Saccharomyces cerevisiae S288C: one gene and its partner. The gene in region 2 interacts genetically with the main gene of each other region. Each region holds a gene or a part of one and is shown on either strand. Other genes may lie near its edges. The genes, in order: QRI1 and URC2.

Region 1 (4,247 bases), 1.2 Mb from region 2:
ATTGCTCGTGACAAAACAAACGTAGTATGACCACCACTAACCAGCAGGCTAACAAAGGGAAATTGAGGCACTTTTCCATTTGTACCCATTCTTGGTATCAGCAAGTGTCCCAGCATGTGATGCACACCAATCAGTGGTTTGTTCCAGGCAACAGCTAAACCTTTTGCAAAATCTAATCCTCCTGATAATGAACCAGGCATACCAGGGCCTCTTGTAACACATATGAGATCAATTCCTTCTCTCGCATTGCTTTCTATCAGGGCTCTTTCGGTTAAGGGTCCTATCCGAGCTTGGTGATGGATATGAGCCTTTGTTGGTATAATACCTCCTTCGTCAATACTATCTAAAGTATCTTTCAAATTGGCTAGCACATTAGGAGCTGCACTTTTTGAGAACCTGTCCAAAACTGAAACGCATGTATCATCGCAAGAAGTCTCAATGGCTAAAACTTTATAGCCTTTTCTTAACTGTATTGGTCTGTTGAATGCACGCCTCTGCCAAATTCTATAGTTATCGAGGAGAAATCTTCCGGTTCCTTTTATTGATATCATAATGAAAAAAAAAGTTTCTATCCTTTCTTCTACTCTACTTATTTCAGAGCTTGAGAATCGCTGTTTGCTTTAATTTCATTGTCAATTAATCATCGCGCAATGAAGATGCCACTCTTTCCATTGGCAGAGCGGATCCGCCAAATAGAAATTACATAAAACAAGTAATTTAGCTATTTTTCAGAGTACGAAATATTTTATTATATATATTGAATCACAATTACGAGTACTTTTCAATTACATGTTAAAAGTGCTTCATAAGTAGCTCAAACAGTTATTTTTCTAATACTATACCACTTCTGTCAAAGACTTTACCTTTGAACTGGGATAGATTTTCACCTGCATAACTCAATTTGCTGGAAACTTCGACTAGTACCCCATCTTTTACAATAGCGCCTGCATCTTCCAACCACGAGGTTCCTAGTTTCAAATATGCTAGTCTGCTGGTCTCAGGATTATCGTTCTTAGAACCAGGACCGTTTTTTAAAGGTGAAAATTCTTTGCATCTATCTACTTCTAAGCACCCAAACTTGTTCAGTGGTACAGTGTCAAAGACATCAAATATGAATTGCTCTAATTTTATACCGTTTGGTTCGGTAGGCTTAGTGTACTTGCCGGTAACACTATCATAAGCTGGAATTTTCTTCTTCGCAATGTGATATGGCATATTCTCACACCACTGATCCAAATCACGTTTTAGTAAATCCACTAGGTAATAATGATTTACAATGTTGCCTGCGCGTAGTTTTAATAAGCCATCTTTATCCTTTGCTTCAGCCAATTCATTGGAAATTTCAGAATATTCTATGACACATGGTTTCTCGTTTTTAGTAGCAATTAACCCAACTGATTCATGCGCATCTCTCTTTCTAACGGCTTTGGTGGCCAGTTCGAAGCCATGCTTGATGGCAAAACCAATAAATACAGGGTCTGCGATTTTAGATAGGACATTATCGACACAGTACATGTAAACATGCTTGATTCCTCTCCTATCAAAGTCTTCGTTCAACTTGTTTTCCTTGATGGCACGGTAGAGTCCACCATTTCCATCTGGTGATTGAGATAGGTTTACTGGGTCTTTCATTAGGAAATGCTTCCCGGTTAAATCAAAGGCAGGCAGGGTTCCCTGGTTGAAGAACGTAATTTGTTCTTTATTCAAGCCAAAATAATTGTGTTCTTGAAAGTATGCCTCAGTAGCCGCTCTAGTGGGGCCTGATGTCATAATATACCAAGGAATTTCTACCTTTTTGTCCTTTACCATATCTTGCAACCTGATCAACTTTTCAGCTTGAATTTGAAAAAGAGATTTCTTAGAAGGCAATCCAATGTCGTAACAGCCCTTTGGTTGAGAGGATCCTAACCGCGTACCTTGTCCGCCAGCCATTAAAATCACTGCGACTTCACCCTTGCCAATAGCTTCAAGGCCTAAACGCCAGTATTCATTTTCTTTCTTACTGTTGCCAATAAGCGACTCGTACGAAGTAGGGGGCAATGGTGAAATTTCGACGCCAGTATCCTTAGAAGAGTTAGCTAGTGAGAATTTAATAGCATTTTGACAGTCTTCCAGTAGTTTTGCAGGGGACCTCTTGGAAGATATTTGCTCCAGGTTTGAAAGCAATTCTTCTTGGTCTTTGCGAGACAAGCTTTCCCAATTGTGGAAAAGTTGACTTTGTCCGGCTTCAATGAATAGCTGTTTTGTGTCAGTCATAGTTGCAGTTCGATCTGGTGTTCTCCTTTATATCTGCGTTTCTTTGCAGCGTTCTTGCTTGACGGTTGATCTTGGTTTTGTGTGGTAAAAGTATGCCTTAACGTAATAGGCAATTTTTCGTATTACGCGTAACTTTTTATTCTATAAAATGTTCAATGAGGACATCTGCTATTCGCTTATGAAGAACAAACACTCAGTACTACTGATCTAAGGCAATTTTCAAGGATAAAGGAAAATAGATATTGAGCACTTGCTATTAAGCATTAATCTTTATACATATACGCACAGCAATGAGTGAAAAAAGATCCCTTCCCATGGTTGATGTGAAGATCGATGACGAGGATACTCCCCAGTTGGAAAAGAAAATCAAACGGCAATCAATAGATCATGGTGTTGGAAGTGAACCTGTTTCAACAATAGAGATTATTCCGAGTGATTCTTTTCGAAAATATAATAGTCAAGGCTTCAAAGCAAAGGATACAGATTTAATGGGTACGCAATTAGAGTCTACTTTTGAACAAGAGCTATCGCAAATGGAACATGATATGGCCGACCAAGAAGAGCATGACCTGTCATCATTCGAGCGTAAGAAACTTCCAACCGATTTTGACCCAAGTTTGTATGATATTTCTTTCCAACAAATTGATGCGGAACAGAGCGTACTGAATGGTATCAAAGATGAAAATACATCTACCGTGGTAAGGTTTTTTGGTGTCACTAGTGAAGGACACTCTGTACTTTGTAATGTTACAGGGTTCAAGAACTATCTTTACGTCCCAGCGCCCAATTCTTCCGACGCTAACGATCAGGAGCAAATCAACAAGTTTGTGCACTATTTAAACGAAACATTTGACCACGCTATTGATTCGATTGAAGTTGTATCTAAACAGTCTATCTGGGGTTATTCCGGAGATACCAAATTACCATTCTGGAAAATATACGTCACCTATCCGCATATGGTCAACAAACTGCGTACTGCGTTTGAAAGAGGTCATCTTTCATTCAACTCGTGGTTTTCTAACGGCACGACTACTTATGATAACATTGCCTACACTTTAAGGTTAATGGTAGATTGTGGAATTGTCGGTATGTCCTGGATAACATTACCAAAAGGAAAGTATTCGATGATTGAGCCTAATAACAGAGTTTCCTCTTGTCAGTTGGAAGTTTCAATTAATTATCGTAACCTAATAGCACATCCTGCTGAGGGTGATTGGTCTCATACAGCTCCATTGCGTATCATGTCCTTTGATATCGAGTGTGCTGGTAGGATTGGCGTCTTTCCGGAACCTGAATACGATCCCGTCATCCAAATTGCCAACGTTGTGAGTATTGCTGGCGCTAAGAAACCATTCATTCGTAATGTGTTTACTCTGAATACATGCTCACCCATAACAGGTTCAATGATTTTTTCCCACGCCACTGAAGAGGAAATGTTGAGCAATTGGCGTAACTTTATCATCAAAGTTGATCCTGATGTTATCATTGGTTATAATACTACAAATTTTGATATCCCTTATCTTTTAAACCGTGCAAAGGCGCTAAAGGTGAATGATTTCCCATATTTTGGAAGGTTAAAAACCGTTAAGCAAGAAATTAAAGAGTCTGTGTTCTCTTCGAAGGCTTATGGTACAAGAGAAACCAAAAATGTCAATATTGACGGCCGATTACAGTTGGATCTTTTGCAATTTATTCAGCGTGAGTATAAACTAAGATCCTACACGTTGAATGCAGTCTCTGCGCACTTTTTAGGTGAACAGAAGGAGGATGTACATTATAGCATCATTTCTGATCTACAAAATGGCGATAGTGAAACAAGAAGAAGGTTGGCCGTTTACTGTTTGAAAGACGCCTACCTGCCTTTAAGGCTTATGGAAAAACTAATGGCGTTAGTTAACTATACAGAAATGGCTCGTGTTACAGGTGTGCCATTTTCATATTTACTAGCTCGTGGTCAACAAATTAAAGTTGTTTCTCAACTATTTCGAAAG
Region 2 (4,885 bases):
AGAAGATTGCTTAATTAAGGCAATGCCAGGTGATAAAGTTAAGGTTCATTATACAGGATCTTTATTAGAATCGGGAACTGTATTTGACTCAAGTTATTCAAGAGGCTCTCCTATCGCTTTTGAACTTGGCGTTGGCAGAGTAATTAAAGGTTGGGATCAAGGTGTTGCCGGCATGTGCGTTGGCGAAAAAAGAAAGCTGCAAATTCCAAGTTCTTTGGCCTACGGAGAAAGAGGTGTCCCAGGCGTCATTCCTCCAAGTGCTGATTTGGTGTTTGATGTCGAATTGGTAGACGTGAAATCAGCCGCCTAGGTAAATTGGCACTCAGGCACATATCTGCAACAAGATGCATGGAGTACGTATGTGGCAAACTTTTTTTTATAGTTGAAAATATATCCATATGAGGATGCCAGCCATCATGTCAAGTTTCAATGTAATTATGGTTGTGTATATTATGTTTGCAGCAAAATAAAATAAAAGGGCTCTAACTACAATATATTAATATAAAGAAATGTTATTCAATCTAGTTTGGGTATGAATTTTTTCCCTCTTAATAAAAATAGTTTAAGTAGTTTGTTCAGTCTTCTTATCGCTGGTAAACATTTTTTGGGAATTTGGTTTTAAACTATCAAAAAAATCCTGAAAAAAGTCTTCAAAGGAATTGAATTGGTCGACGTCAGGAATCATGAAGTGACTACTGGACAAGTTCTCGTGCAAAGTACCAACATTAGTAGGCGAAGTAGCGGGTTTCGCGGCGTGCAGATTTCCTGCTCCTGTGTAGTTATTAGCATTAGTCGACATTTTATCATTATCACTATTCTCTTTTGACAAACTGCCAAAATTAATACGAGTCTTACTAGTATCAATTATAGATTTTATGATTTTTCCAACGTTATCAGTAGCCTCATTCATTTTTTCCCCTATAGTGCTCAAATGCCAGTACACTTTTGTACAAAGACTCAAAACGCGTTGACGTTCAGAAGAATCGAACCAATAAAGATAGTCACAAAGAGTTAAACAGGCGTAGACTAGTTGATGACAAGTAAAAATCGGAGCACCCCTTATTAACGTTGGCGGTAGTCTCAAAAACCCATTCAACAGCGAAAATGAATGTTCTTTCATCGTATTAAGAATTAGTTTCAAAAACCTTTGGTTGCTTTTTAGCGTGGAAGAAAATTCTGTGATAAAAGTGCGACATATCATGATATGATAAAAATCAAATGTGAACAATAGCACGCCCGCGCCATCCTTTGCTAAAAGCTCTTCCCAATTTTTCAGCCAATAATTTAGCTCTGGAAAAACAAAGATAAAAGTATCTGCGTTACCTCCATATCTGTCATTGTTAAAGTCATCCAAACACTGCGCAAAATAATTTTTAAGGTTTATAAAGATGCCATTTACGATGTCACCTAAATTTATCTCACTGATTTTAATGTCATCACCAAAATTCGCCTGAGGAAATTTCGCCACAAGTTTATTAAACTCTTTAAGCATATCATCCTGTTCCCTAATATCGCCGTAACTAATGGAATATTCTAAATAGCAGGCAGTTAGTGAATTTAGTATTCTTAGATGATAAAGATCTTCGGGATTATACACTTCTTTTACCAAAACCCTATCCTTTATCTGATAAAAATCTATTACATGTAACAAGCTATTGAGCGCAAAATTGCTTAGTACCAGAGAATTAAACTTCAGTTGCCTATATCTCTTTGCCTTTCGCGAAATATGGAACATACAGCAATATAAAATAGCCTCAATATCAAACGCTGTTAACTTTTCAAACATGGTTAACGTATTAGTGAGTAATCTCTCCACTAAAGGATACAATATTTCTTGTTCTGCAGCGTATTTATCGTTGTCAGCAAAACTCATAGCGATAATAGTAAAAACACTTGTAATAAATAGGTGTGAGTGGGCATATTCCACGTCTATCTCTTTTCTCCCACCTGGAATTATCCAGAAATGGGATCTCACCAGAAATTCTTTTGCAAGCTTATGGCATAATTCCTGATTATTCTCATAAAAATGGAGAAAGTTCACTCTTGCAACAGCATATGGCCTTTGCTGTCCAGCTAGCTTCGCAGCTTTAGATGTAGCCTTCGATGGAAATAGCCTCTCATCAATATCATGTAGCAATTTTAAAGGAGATTCCTTCAACTTAAATCCATTTAAGAAAAGATTTTCTTTTCTATATTCCCCTGTTTTCCTTATCGTCTCTGAGCCCGAAGTTAGACGACTATCGTACGTCTTATTTGAGCTGAAATCCACGTTCTGAATATCATCTCCAGGGCCTTTGATATCGCTGTTATAAGACATCTTTGCTGTGGTGATTATCAAGTCCATTTTCTGGTGTAAAGATTTTATGTGCTCTTCTAAAGATGAAAGCCTTTTATCGATCATGTAATTATCAAAATTGACCGTTCCATTCTTTTCAAAACTACTTTGGCTTTCGTTGGGAGAGTCCGCATTCAAATGAGAGAAAGAACCAAGGTTGTGATTAATTGAGTTGATCTTCTTTAGTAGACCATCCTCACGTAAAGTATTCAAAATTTCATTGTCTTTATTCCTGGCTAAGGAGCAATCAAGCTGCAGAACGTTACATCTGTAACATTTTCCAATGAAAGGTTCAAAATCGCACCTTGTCTTCACTCTCCTGCAAGTATCACAACTAAATGTTTTTCTTTTCTTTCTAGGTTTTTTGTTGCCATTATTCTTAGGACTGTTCGTTTCACTGCGCTCTTTGGCTCTTGCACTATCCTCTGGGTGGTTTATTATGGATCTGATACTATTTCGCACCTTTCCAGAAGCAGAATTATATCCAGCAGTCATCGGTAAACCATCTGGTCTGGGGCTTACTGAGGCATTTGAGTTTATATCCATTTTTTTCCCTGATGTTCAGCAAACCGAAAGAAATATAAAATACAACTGGGAAAGATGTTTTAATGGTGAGTAAGCAAAATGTGAGTGGTTTTAACCCTAAGGAAGAACCGTATCAAAACACTATTTTTCAATTAAATCATCTACCTAATGAGCTCATTTTGTTAAGATGATCTACCATAATAATTATTCAAAAACTGTCAAAATTAAAAGGAGGGTAACAGTTTCAATAGTTTAACCAGTTTTGGTAATGCCTGAAATAACATAAAAAGCTGATGCTAAGTGGGCTACGCTATGCTCCAGGTGAAGATAATCAGAACACTACATCTCTACTGCAAATTTATATCTCATAAGAACTAAATAAAATGGCTAGTATTTAAGTTAATCTTCTAACCTAAAAAATTATCGAGAACAATACCGTGAAAACTGCATAAACTGACATTTTGAAAGCATCAATAAAAATGTTCTTCGGAGCACTGTTTTCCATCTTCTTTGAACTTCCTTGACTTTTTGCACCATTTTTTCCTTTTTCTTTCTTTCCATTATCATTGTCAGTTTCCTGCTTTCCTAGTACATTCCCCTCTTCATCAACATTCAGCATTTTACTTTTCATACCAGATGTGCATTCGATTTTACCGCCTCTTATGATCGAACGACCGGCTTTTGGTGATGTAAATTCTTCACAGTTTAATTCCTCAGATGAACTTTTGATATAAGCGCTACCTTTTACTAACTTTAGCTCTGGGAGGTCAATTTTATCAAAGCTACCTTCAAAATATATTGCACCGCCAATTTGCCTCAACTTGGGGAAGAAATCAATTTTGGCAAGCTCTGTATTGTTAGCAATCATTAGACCCCCTTGAATATCGGTGGCATTCGAAAAGTTTAGCTTTTTCAGATTTTTATTATCTATTAACCCCAACGTTCCTTGAACTTTTGCCAAAAGTGGTAGTTCCAAGCTTGAAAATTGATTCTCGATGAACTCTAGAGAACTGTTCACAGAGGAAAGTTTAGCTAGTTTAATTTCTGAAACGTCCTTAATGGTCATATTTTCAACCGTGTGTAAGTTGCTCAAATCAAGTTCCAGCTCTTTGGCATTAGAGTGGACGGTTAGTTGTTTAGTAACACTTTCTAAACTTGCGAATAAATTTTCTAAAAACCTGTTATTGTTGATATTGAAAATATCCACTTTCTTGACGTTATTGAAGTAATCGATGGAGGTTAATGCAGTATCAGATATGATAATATTTTTGATCTTTTTAATATTTCCGTTAATGACAACACTACTTAGAATAGGCAAAACTCTCCAATCAACGGTTTCAACTTCTTTTAAAGCGGGAAAGTCTAATGATACAAAGGAAGTTAGGCTATCCAATTCCAACTTTCCCAAAGACTCTAAATTATAACCCTGGATTCTAAAAATGTGTTTGTTATTCTTGATAATAAGATCTCCCTCTATCTCTCTTATTAACCCTAGATCAATAAGAGATCCGCTGTAGTTACTTGATATTTCAATGTTTCCTACCACTTTCCAACATTTAGCTTGCAGTTCAATCAAATTTCCAGCATTCTCAATATGATACAAGCCTTTTTTACAGTCTTCATCTACTTGTGTTTGTTTTGTTGGAGAAATCACCTCAAAATCAGTTTGTTCCTTTTTAGGGATCGTTGCATTAGTGTTAACCAACATAATGTTGTGATCTAGAATATTCGGTCCACCATTAGGTTCAACTGCAGCGGATGATTTAATTAACTGCAGAAACAAGAATAAAAATCTTAAGATTGTGTTCAACTGGTTCAACATGCTATCCTTTTCTTTTTTTGTAGAAACTTTGGTTTCTTTATTGACTATTTGAATAACAGAAATACTAGTGAAGAATGTTTGTGTTTTCCAAATTGGCATTTTCTTTTATAGTCTAAGTAATGCCACAAAATATTTTTTTTGAGACGCATCAATGACGGGACAGTAAAGACATAAACGCTCGATCAGAAAAAAAGAATCGAAAA

What was found.
Region 1: mutations in URC2 (region 2) and QRI1 together harm fitness more than expected from each alone (negative genetic interaction), as found in Saccharomyces cerevisiae (2 studies listed by BioGRID).

The regions. Positions count from the first base shown.
Region 1 is NC_001136.10:274,326-278,572, forward strand, and holds QRI1 (UDP-N-acetylglucosamine diphosphorylase), read right to left. Parts: upstream 2,257-4,247; coding exon 823-2,256; downstream 1-822. Other genes in the region: QRI7 (putative N(6)-L-threonylcarbamoyladenine synthase), read right to left, coding at 1-551; DNA-directed DNA polymerase delta POL3, read left to right, coding at 2,547-4,247. UniProt on the Saccharomyces cerevisiae protein: UDP-N-acetylglucosamine pyrophosphorylase that utilizes N-acetylglucosamine-1-phosphate as substrate. Together with AGM1, is involved in the production of UDP-N-acetylglucosamine from N-acetylglucosamine-6-phosphate.
Region 2 is NC_001136.10:1,480,523-1,485,407, forward strand, and holds URC2 (Urc2p), read right to left. Parts: upstream 2,882-4,885; coding exon 563-2,881; downstream 1-562. Other genes in the region: peptidylprolyl isomerase family protein FPR2, read left to right, coding at 1-310; SPS2 (Sps2p), read right to left, coding at 3,273-4,781. UniProt on the Saccharomyces cerevisiae protein: Probable transcriptional activator involved in uracil catabolism.